Xenopus tropicalis: one gene and its partners. The protein of the gene in region 1 purifies or fractionates together with the protein of each later gene. This does not show direct contact. Links are inferred from orthologs where the notes say so. Each region holds a gene or a part of one and is shown in the gene's direction. Other genes may lie near its edges.

What was found.
Region 2: the proteins of c15orf41 (region 1) and asf1a purify together in Homo sapiens (affinity purification with mass spectrometry; 3 studies listed by BioGRID and IntAct, counting the BioPlex papers as one, with this or other methods). This does not show direct contact. The link is inferred for Xenopus tropicalis from reciprocal best matches to the Homo sapiens genes CDIN1 and ASF1A.
Region 3: the proteins of c15orf41 (region 1) and asf1b purify together in Homo sapiens (affinity purification with mass spectrometry; 4 studies listed by BioGRID and IntAct, counting the BioPlex papers as one, with this or other methods). This does not show direct contact. The link is inferred for Xenopus tropicalis from reciprocal best matches to the Homo sapiens genes CDIN1 and ASF1B.

What each region holds. Positions count from the first base shown.
Region 1 is NC_030684.2:111,286,254-111,289,753, reverse strand, and holds part of c15orf41 (protein C15orf41 homolog), read left to right. Parts: intron 1-2,673; coding exon 2,674-2,869; 3' UTR 2,870-3,500. UniProt on the Homo sapiens protein: Plays a role in erythroid cell differentiation.
Region 2 is NC_030681.2:73,626,504-73,630,709, forward strand, and holds the start of asf1a (histone chaperone ASF1A), read left to right. Parts: upstream 1-1,406; 5' UTR 1,407-1,734; coding exon 1,735-1,843; intron 1,844-3,231; coding exon 3,232-3,347; intron 3,348-4,206. UniProt on the Homo sapiens protein: Histone chaperone that facilitates histone deposition and histone exchange and removal during nucleosome assembly and disassembly.
Region 3 is NC_030679.2:134,227,291-134,231,363, reverse strand, and holds the start of asf1b (histone chaperone asf1b), read left to right. Parts: upstream 1-1,273; 5' UTR 1,274-1,322; intron 1,323-4,073. UniProt on the Homo sapiens protein: Histone chaperone that facilitates histone deposition and histone exchange and removal during nucleosome assembly and disassembly. Cooperates with chromatin assembly factor 1 (CAF-1) to promote replication-dependent chromatin assembly.

The sequences.
Region 1 (3,500 bases):
ACTTGAAACTTGAATGGCCCTTTGTAATGTATCAGTAGGCTGAGAATGGTGGCTCCTATTGTGGGTAGACCGCAAGTGCCCCAAGACATATAATCAAACGAATGATTCTTTTCTTTTGTGAAACTGATTTCACTTCAGCTTGATTGTGATTTATATATATAACTTTAAGATTTCGATTGCACTGGTGGGACTGGTCCCTAGAGAAAGAAAGAAAGAAAGAAAGAGAGATGGAGGTCTCAAGGTATGAGGTTTATTGGTGACTATTCATTTATATTCCTGTGTAATGACATTTTGATTATCTTTAGCTTTGTTTTCATCTATGGGGAGGCCTAAAGTGATCAGCTCTGGACAATGGATCCCAAGCTGGGAAGCCTGATTTGGTCTGTGGCGACTCTTTACGGCCTTGGACCATACCTTATTTTCTTGGTGTCCCAAACATGGCTGCCCTAATTGCTGTATATCCAGTAGTAACTGTATTACGAGAATAGTGCTGTTTAAATACAGGGGACATTGTATGGGTAGCAAAAAAAAAAATAGATGGTGCCTATTCTCCCTAAAGGGGAGCTTCCCCTAGAAAATCTTTGTTGGTGGAGTTTGTGGGTGGAGCTCTCCTGAGAGAATGACCCATTAGACAAGCTTCAGTTAGTTTTAGCGGTATTTCCCTGCAATTTGCTCCCTTTCGTGTAACAGATGCCGAGTCCCTGCTGATGACCAGCAGTCACTTATTAGAATGCTTCTACCCCTGTACTTCACTGATAGTATGGTGGGTTGTTTGCTTTGAACTTTGGTCAAAAAAACACAGTGTTGGTCTGATACGACTACAAAACATCTTCCCAACATTTGGTAAGTTCTAGGCATTATTCCACATAGTTCTGTTTGAGCAATAACATGGTGGTGTGCAGGAAGACCCCATGGGCATGCTTAGTGCGCTGCAGCTAGTGTAATGATGCTCTTAGCTCTATTTTGATGTCGGGGAAATTCCTATTGGTTGTTAGACTTGTCAGTTATGTACAGGTATGTCCCCTCTGTTGGCCTCTGAATCCTGTTTTCTGCCATTATACTGTGCCCTGACTGACTTCTGGTCTCAGCTCTATCCTGCCTAAGCCTGTTACTTTGTGTTTTCCTGGTTTTCGACTCCTCCCTGTTAATTGCTTGACTCCTCCTTGTTAATTGCTTGTCTGATCTCTAAAGTGAGTGGGTTCCCTGTTGGTACCTCATCAGAAAGTGACCAAAAGAGCATCGTGAAGGTTGGCACTATCAGCTTTCTCCTGCTTCACCAGCGTCCTAGTCCTACAGAATGTTGCTCTCTGTCTGCTCCCCCTATGTTACATTTAATTATAGCAATACCATTATTATATCCATGCCATGTATGGTAGGTGCAAAATGATTGCCCTAATATGCCAGTAATAATGTGTCCGTAGATATCATTTCATATGATAGTAACTATGTACTTGAGATTAAGACATTCTTTGAAAATGTTGGTAGGTAGGTAGAACTTTATAACATGCACAATATAAACCTTATCCTACATTATTTTTATCCACGCTAATGCGCTTATCCAATTGTCTTTGCCTTTTTTCACAACCCCCCAAAAGAAACATTTTTAGTCAGATATTTTTAGCACAAGACCCTAATTTGACTGGCAAAGTAAATGAAATAAGTGTAGAAGGGCCTGGGAGAGGGTCGGCAGACTGTTTGCTCAAGTGAGGTGAGGCTGATAGGCAGCACGACTCTCTGATTGATGGCCATTACTTACTTGTTTATGAACCCGAGGATGAAGCTCTGAACTTCCTCATGGGCCAAATAGTTCCGCACTCTGTTTCCTGAGTCTGCCGAGGGGAACTCTCCATGAGAAAGGGAGGTCAGGAAACACAGGCTTGCCTTTATGTGACAGTTAGAGAAAAGAAATACACTGGGAATGTCCAGCCTGCAACCCTTCCAGCTGTTGGAGAGCTACAAACTGGACTTTCCTGATCCATATACATACTCTATTCACAACTTGCAGAGGGTGGAGATGGAAATTCTTGGTCAGTTTTGGTCATTCTTAGTCTATGCATTAAGAATAAAGGAACATGTAGGGAAATTCACTGTGCATACAGTTAATTATGGGATGTCTGTGACTTGATCTAAACAAATAGGTGCACTTGGCATCTAAGGTATGAGGCCTTTGCAGTGTTGGCTCATTGGCTGTGGTGAGTGTTATTAACTTTGTAATGAGTTCTTCAGACCTTGGGCATTTCATATATTGTCCATCTGCCTCAGGTTTTGACTAATAACAGTGATCCCCAACCAGTGGCCTCAAAGCAGGGGCTTATTTTTGTATTTCTGACATGGAGGCAAGTTTTGGTTGCATAAAAACCCAGTGTAATTGCCAAACAGGCTGCCAGTCCACATAGGGGCTGCCCAATAGCCAATCAGAGCCCTTATTGGTCACCTGTAAGAACTTTTTTCATGCTTGTGTTGCTCTCCAACTGTTTTTTATATTTAACTGTTGTTGTTTACGGATAAAAAGTTTGGGACCTCTGAGTGTCAGCTCTGTTGGAGAGGGGTTTGCTGTGCCCAGTAAATACTTAAAATCTTTTTCACCCATGTTAAACAGCTGATACATTTGTAAGCTCGTGCATGTATTATCCCTACATACCTTTTCTAATTGCTTTCTCCCTTTCCTATCAGGTTTGGCCCTGGCCTAGTCATATACTGGTATGGATTTATTGAGGAGCTGGACTGCAACCGTGAACGTGGCATTCTTCTTAAGGACGGCTTTCCCGAATCCCTGGTAACACTGGGGAGCTGCATGGCGCAGAATGCTGAACATGGGCAGCACACAAAGAGCCGCTTGAGTGAGACTCACCAGGAAACGCAGTCATAGTTCCATGTGGCCCCAAACTGCTGAACTCCCAATGAACTGCAAAGCAAGGTCACAGAACTGCTTTCTCATACAAACTGTTTACCTTCCTTCCCAGCCGCCTCTTGCCCTGTGCTACAGCACCAACCTACGCATTCTCTGCAGCACCTCAGCTTCTCCAGATGCGCCGTGCACATACACACTGACCTTCCTTCCGCTGCACCCTCCTATATCTCGGGACTCCATCATGTTAGCCAAGAGGAAACCAGTGCTCTTCGGATCACCCTGTACTGTAACTAAAGCTCAAACTAGTGCAACATGCTTGTTTTAGAAAGGATGCTGCAACGTGAACACGGGACGTGAAGATAACAGAAAATTTTAAGACAATAATGGCAGTTTGCTGCCATTGTTATGGGCTTTTGTGCCAGGAATGCCATCAACAGCTGCTTCACTTGCAGCCCTATCTATTTGCCTCCCCTAAAGGCGGCTAGTAGATAGCAGACTAATGGGGATATGTAATAAAAGATGCAGCATTTGCTACTGGTCTAATCACCTATAGCAACCAATCAGCAGGAAGCATTTACTGGTCCCTTGTTTAATTGTTTAACCAACAGTTTGTTGGTTGCTGTGGGTTACTGCACCTGGGCAAAGTCAG
Region 2 (4,206 bases), on another chromosome or scaffold:
TTTGGTCTTCAGTGAATTATTTAACAGTAGGTCCTTCCAGCAGACACAAAAGCATCCATTTCAATTAAAAGAAGGGACATTATATCTAAATATTCAGAAAGGGTTTTTTCAGCGAGAGATGTGAAGTTGTGAAATTCTCCCTATGAATCAGTCCTTCTGGCAGATACATTAGATAGACATGGTCATTGAAAATAGTTTTAGATGATCCAGGAGGCAAATTAGAGAGGCTTTAGAAGGGTTTTTTTTTTTTTTTGCTTTCCTCTGGATCAACTAGCAATTAGGCAGGTTATATATAGACACAAAAGGTTGAACTTGAAAGAGAAAGAAAAGCAATTTTTAGCATTTTACTGCCAATAGATTTGCCACATTAGTACCACCTAGAACGCTATATTTATTCAGCAGAAAGCTTTACCATACCTGAGTAAAGAGCCCTAGAAGCTCCCTCCGATAGCAGCTGCCATTTTAGCTTGGTCTTGGTAGCTTCCTGCTGCAGTTATAGCCATTGGTAGCGCGAATCACACATTCCTAAGGGTGGGAGTTCTTATGGGAGGGGGAAGCAGAAGGGAGGGGGAGAGGGAGAGTAAAAGAACTGAGCAGACTCATGCCCCAAACCTGAAGGAGCCCTAAAAGAGAGGAAGTCTGATACTGAAGAACATTTTCACAAAAAACAAGCAATCACAAGAAATCCTGTGTTTCTTTTGAAGGACTCAGTGCAGTGTTTCTGTGAGTGCTTATGGCTTACTTAGTTTTTACTTTCCCTTCTCCTTTAATGGATGTGTCTTTTTTCAACCTAATTTACTATGGTTGAACCCTAATTTTATGTTTTCCCAGAATTGGCAGGTTTTTTTGTCCTCCCATACAGGCAAGGTACATTTTATTTTTTATGTTTTCCCAGAAATAGGGGTTCTACCATATAGTCCTATAAGTAACTGCTACATTACTGTCAATTTTTTTTAAATATAAATAAAAGTAAATAAAGAGCAAAAAAAAAACCCCAAAAAAACAAAAATTCTGATTAACAGCTTTTCCCCAGAGGACATTTTGCCAGGGGGGATTCAGAGCCCCAGGTGCAACAGCCTTTAATTGGTTGCATGCATATCCTTATGAGATAAACTCAGCTGATCCCTGAATATCTTAATTTGTACACCAGGGAGATAGAGAAAAACATTTTTTAAAGAAGCGAAGTTTTTGTTGAAAGCCTCAAAGTGCCAAAAGAGGCAAAGCTCACTACTTTTGAACTGTTCAGACGCTAGGAAACACAGATGCAGCAAGACTATTGAGCCTGTCAGTGCGGAGAGATCCTCCCTGAGGTGTGCTCGAGCTGTCAGCCAGCAGGTGGAGCAGCTGCTAAACATTTCCAGCTCCCATGGTCATGAGAAGTCTGTCTTTTTCTGTCGTGTAGCTTTTAGCATTATGGGAAGGGCCAGGGAGCAGCCAATCCGGACACACGCTGTTATAGCAACAGAACAGAATGTGGTGTAGTGAAGTAAGATAGGAGAGCAGGGGAGGGGGGAGAAATAATAAATAAAATAGAGTGGAGTTGCTCACATTGAAAGTAATCAATGGATGAAATAAAAAGAAAACAAACAAACAAATAAGCTGATTTGGAAGAAAGTTTCTCAGGACTGGTGTAAAGAACTGCAAGAAGCAGTGACAGGGGCTCTGCACAGATAAGCACTGCTGGGTCTTGCCTGCACTCTCACACCATCCCCATTGTTTGAGCATTTCCAAAATATGGCAAAGGTTCAGGTGAACAATGTGGTGGTGCTGGATAACCCTTCTCCTTTCTACAATCCTTTCCAGTTCGAAATCACCTTTGAGTGCATAGAGGACCTTTCTGAAGGTGAGTTACAATCAGTTCTTTCTTTTGGCAGTCTGCTAAAGAAGCATCCTAGTGCACAAGAGGTTAAACTGATTCCCACAGGCCTGATGCTTGGCTAAGAAGCAGAGCAGGCGCTGACAGGAATAAAATGCCGGCACATTAACGTAGACAAGCAGGGAAAAAACTTGCGGTTGCACTAGCTGGGAGTGTATGGGAATGCTGCTGCACACACTGGGAAAGTAAGTTTGAAAGGTGCCCTGGTGGCAGGAGCAGCAGCCATGTTTTGTTTGTGGATAGAGAGGGAGGGGGTCGGGTTAATGAGTGTGAAACAGACACAGACAATGCAGGACACGCAATGTGACCTCTGCACTGGGGCTCTTGCAGTGCAAAGACAGCAGATTTTAAATAGCGGTTACTTGTATAATGCTGACCTGCTGCCTGGAGTGAAAAGCAAAAGCTTGTTTTCTATTTTTTTTTTCCTGCAGTTTTTATTATATAAATACATGGGAAAATACAAAAATAAGGATGTTTATTGCATTGTTATGGGGAGAAAAGATGTTTATTCTTCCTTGCATTCATCTTTTTTTATGTCACAGGTGGAATTATAGCCCCTCCCTCATCTCACTGTGTAATGGGCACAAACTCAATAGTAACACAGGGGCATTTAGATGTACATATTCATGGAACTGGGCGCTTGTGTGCGTTAATAATCACTGTCCCAACATAGTAAATAAAAACACACACTGACAATCTGCCTATGAATCTCTTTAAAAATGGTTAACTTGATGGGCAGTTGTCCTTTTTTAACCCAAATTAATGGTAAAATTATGAATATAATAATTTTTCGAATAACAACAAGAAAATGTGTCACCTTAGAAAGATGTCCAGTTCTCCATGATCAAATCTGTCATCCATTTTTCCACTTTCAGAAGAACAATATATTGATACAGCTAGCTGCTGCAATTTTTAAAAATCTGACTAAATTCATTTTCATTAATGTCTGACATTTACTAAAAATGTGAACTGAAAAAGTCAAAAGTTGCCTCACAAGAAAAATTCAGACTCAGAAGACAGAAACAATACATATGCCATCCCACGGTGATAAAAAAAAAAAAAAAAAAACCCCACTATGTTTAGGATGTCATCTAATGAACTTTTTTTTTAGGCTGATGCCACACAGGGCCTGTCGTAAAACAGAGTCCCTATGCTGGCATCAGCCTTCTTCCTTGCCTCTCATTTCAGCAACCCATATCTGCTACAAGTGCCTGCACCTGAACTGACGCAATAGTTTTCCTCAGGCTGAGAATCAGCCCTGTGTGGCATCAGGCTAAGAGACTACTTTTATATTTATAGATAGCTGAAGAGCTAATTTCCCATTCCTTTTCAATTAACATTATACTTTCCACCAGATTTAGAATGGAAAATTATTTACGTGGGCTCTGCTGAAAGTGAAGAATATGACCAGGTTTTAGACTCTGTATTGGTGGGACCTGTACCTGCAGGCCGACATATGTTTGTATTTCAGGTAAGTTGATATTGATTTTATATAAAATATTCTTCTTAGTGAAGAACCATTAAGGGTGGTGGCACACAGGGTGATTAGTCCCCCATGGTTACATTTCAGCTATCGCAGGCAACTAATCTCCCTGAAAAGCCTTTCCTCTGGCAATAAAGTGAATCGCCGGTGGAATGGCATATACTTTACATTCATTTTTACAAAGTTTCCTCCTCCAGAAAACAATTCATACAAATTCTTACAAACTCTGCAATAGTTTGAAAAACAACTGCCAGGTGATGTAATGTTTATTTTGGCCATAAACACACTAATGATATTGTACGAAACCTCGTTTTGAACGATATTCGGTGCGTGTATGGCGGATCGACGAGACAACCGATATAGCAAAGGCTGTGGATATTGGCTGTCTCATCGATCACCCAGGTTAAAAGATTTTGATCGGGTGCCACTGAAGGCGCCCAAACAAAATCTGCGTTCAGGGCTGAATCGGCAGGTGGAGGTAGAATTCCTATTGTTTCTACCTCCACATTCAGCCCTGAACGTTGTGGGGGAAACAAACGATCCTGTGACCATCAGAATTGCTACGTGTATGGCCACAAACAGGGGGACTCACAGAGAGGGGTTCACTCTCAGAGCAGAGAAAGCTGTAACCAAGTGCCAGGAGTCACTGAGAAAGGTCTTTCAGAGTAGGACACAGAGCAAGAATGCTGCCTGCCTGTGTTAGGAACTCCCAGGGGGCTGGGGGTGCTGCCTGCCACTGCAAGGAGCCATGTGTATGAGTGCCAGAACGACAAGGCTTAGTGAGAAGCCAAAGTGTGAGATGGCCGGGATGGTGAGAAGCCCCAGGAAAAGGTTCCAGAGTATGAGA
Region 3 (4,073 bases), on another chromosome or scaffold:
ATAAAGGCTGAGGCGGTTACATCCGCCTCTAACAGCCATCTTGCGTTCCTTCTATCATTTTGTTGCACAGCAATTCCCAGAATTCCCTACAGAGGCTGGGGGGGGGGGGGTTAAACAAGCCTGATAGAAATATAAAACTTTATAGCGCAGCCTTTGTTTCTGTATGTATGTATATCTTTATAAAGTGCTACTTATGTACGCAGTGCTGTACAGTAGAATACATTAATACAAACAGGGGGTTATTAAGATAATAGATAAATACACAGTATAACAATAAATACAGATAAATACAAGATACAGTTGCAATAAGATAAGAGTCGAGGACACAAGAGGAAGGAGGTCCCTGCCCCGTAGAGCTTACAATCTATATGGGAGGGGTAACTTACAGACACAAATAGGCAAATGTAAGTGCTGTAGGTCACAGTGGGTGACACTTCAATATAAGTGCCAGTTCCCAGTATAAATACATATACTGCCCACACTGCTGAAGCAAGGTTGCCACCTAAGCAGTAAAAATGATGCTTGATGCCAACCTTATTAATAGGGAATATGCACACAAATAAATGAAAGCCTGTATTTTTTTTATCCAGAAAAAATGCTTAAGGTGTAAATAATGGTTTAGTGCAACAAAACAAATATATGGCAGGAAAATGTTTACCAGTAAGTACCCTACTCGGCCGCCCCTAGTCTGTTTCCGGTTCCGTTACACCCCAGCTTCACAAGTGCGTCATGGTATTTATCAGCGCCCCATTACCTACCCCACGCATTCTTACTTCCCGCGCAATACCTGCCTATCCGGAAGTTGCGTCAGCCTAAGCCGGAAGATAATGCCCGACGCGGGAACGAACGTCAAACGGCGCGGGAAGCAAACACCGTGCTCCAATCAAACGTGAGAGCTACTGACAAGCCCCGACCATGTGACCAAAGCTGGTAGAATCAGCGGCCATCTTTAATGCTGGCAACGACTTCGAACGGCTTTTAGACGTAGGAAGCGAATCCGTTTAATGTACTGGTTTGGTAAGGCAGACTCGGCTGTACGTGGGGGAGAGCCATTATACCCCTGTTTACAGGCTTGCATAGATAGGGGGTGATTATGCGTTTCACACTATCCAGAAGCGTCATTGGTTGTTGCTTGACGGTGAGAGGGAGGGGCTTGCGGCTCAGAGGGGGCGGGGCTGGGGGGCGCGTTTGGAGTGAGGTTGTAAGCGAGGCGCGGGAGACAAAACGGAGGGCGGGAAAGAAGGAGCGGGCTGTTTGTGACGGTTGTGTGGGACGGAGCGGTACAGCCGGGCATACCGGGGAAGGAGGAGACGCCACAACAGGTGAGTGCTGTTTCCTTTCTACTCCGGGCTGTCAGCCCACTCTTACTCCCCCCATGCCCACCTTGCTGGTGAACTACAAGTCTCTGTAGAATATTAACTCGGGGGCCACAGGCTGAACTAATAGTCCCTACCTGTGTGTCCATAATCCCCATTTCCCTGTACGTGTTTACTCACAGGGGCGTGGCTAATGTGTGCCTATAACTTATATAGGAATATACTTGTATAGGGAGCCCTCAGTCTTGCACTTGGCCAACATCCGAAAATAGTTTAATGCTCAACATACAAATTGTATCACTAGTTGGCATAAAGGCTTGCACTTTATTTCTGTTAAGCTTCTGTGTGTCTGTGGCTGCTGGGAGTTGTAGTTCAGCCCTGGGGGCTGCCTGATAGGGGTAACTAACTGATAGGGGTAACTAACTGATAGGGATAACTAACTGATAGGGATAACTAACTGATAGGGATAACTAACTGATAGGGATAACTAACTGATAGGGATAACTAACTGATAGGGATACTTAGTTATGGCTTTGTACAGCTCTGCAGTATGTGTTGGTGCTTATAATAACCTGTTACTATTATTATTGTGAGCCTCCTCCTGTAACCGGTTATTGGATGAAAGTCCTGTCTGAGCCCAGTGTGACACCTATATAGAAATAATTGCTACTTCGGTTAACATTGCTTTCATTGGAATGTGAGTAGCATATTTAGGGGATCCCATTGTTAGTATTGGGGCTCATGTTGGCAGTAGCCAAGTTGGGGCCCGTGGGCCAGATCTAAAGCTGGCCATAGACGCACCAATAACATCGTACGAAACCTGGTTTCGTACGAAATTCAGTGCGTTTATGGCAAGTCGGCGAGTCGACCGGTATCGCAGGAAGCTGCTGATATCTGTCGACTCGCCGACCAGCAACGTCAGAAGATTTTGATCGGGGGCCATAGAAGGCGCCTGACCAAAATCTCCCTTCGGCGCTGAATCAGCAGAAGGAGGTAGAAATCCAATTGTTTCTACCTCCTTACCTGCAGTTTCAGCGCTGAAGGTTAGTGGCGGATCTGACAATCTTTCCTGCGACCGATGGTTGCACAAAAGATCGCAGATCGCCACGTGTGTGGCCACCTTAAAGCTGGCCATACACGTGGCGATCTGACGATGTTTCGTTCAACCATCGGTCGCACGAAACATCGTCAGATCCGCCACACACTATTCAGGGCTGAATCGGCAGGTAAGGAGGTAGAAACAATAGGATTTCTACCTCCTTCTGCCGATTCAGAGCTGAAGGGAGATTTTGGTCAGGCGCCATAAAATTTTCAAACTGGTCCGGTCGGCGAGTCGGCCGATATCAGCAGCTTCCTGCGATATCGGTCGACTCGCCGACATACCATACACGCACTGAATATCATACGAAACGAGGTTTCGTACGATATTATCGGTGCGTGTATGGCCACCTTAAGGGATCTATGTGCCCCCCACGCTCCTCCCAAAGGCCCCATTGGCCCTCAGACATGTGCTATAAGAAGTAACTGTCCCACTGCCTGTAGCGAGTTGAATGTGGCTGGTCATTGGGGTCATTTCACAGTATATCGTACCCACAGGGCTTCCCTTTGTTGCTATAATATGCATACACCAGTAACTCTACCTTGTAATGGGGGGGATCTGAACATGTAATGCATGCTGTAATATGATAACAAGGCTTGAGTAGGAGACATCATAGAATTGTCTGTTAACCTGACAGAACAGTGGGAACAGCACTGCCGGCAGCGCAAACAGACGGCTATTGGGCAGCATTAAAACTTCCCGTGCCATTGCTTCCTACTAGAGAAACGCTCAGTTCAGGAGTTGGCCAAATCCAGGCACCTTTTGCAGGATTCAGCTAAATACTTGGGGGAATATTTATCATGCTGTGTAAAAAGTGAAGTGAAGCATTACCGGTGATGTTGCCCAGGGCAACCAATCAGCAATTAGATTTCAACAGTTAGAAAACCAAAGCAAAACATCTGATTGGCTGCTATGAGCAACATCACTGGTAATGTTTCACTCCACTCTTTACACAGCATGATAAATATACCCCTAGGTGTTCATTCAACCCCTTAGTTGTGTGCCTTTAAAGCTTTGGGCAGCTAAGTGTGACATGTGTTTTTAGTTTATGGAAGGTGACGTGGTTTGAATTTTTCCCATATTTTAAATTCGGTGTTCGTCTAAATGCAGAAATGATTGACTCGATGCATGGCAGGATCTCACTGTAATGTGTCTGCGACTGATTCCAAGGAGTGAAGAGGATATTGAGCGGAATAGAGAGGAGTCCCCTGTTGAGCAAACTGGGAAATCCAGCGACTGATTTGTGGGGTGCACAGCCGAGCTTATTTCTAATTGACTTTCAGATATCAGGATGAATGGGGGGGAATAGAGGCTAAGGAAAGGGTTTGTGCAGTGTAAGGGTGAAGACACACAGAGCTACTAGTTGCAGCAACTTGTCGTGGCTACTAAAATAGACAATGCTGATCATTTACTGATAGTCTGTGTGTTAGCAGAGGCAATTCTCAGTATTGTCTATGTCAGGGGATTTTCTGGAGTTTAGTTGCCATTAAAAATAGCTGCTACTAGTAGCTCAGTGTGTCTTCACCCTTACACACACATAGGCTTCTTGTATTTCTGTTAGAGAAGGGCAAGTACAGAGTATAATAAGTGCCAGAAATGCAATTCAGAATGCAGTTTCTCACAGAAAGACTGCCATACCTTTTCACTTAAAGATATAT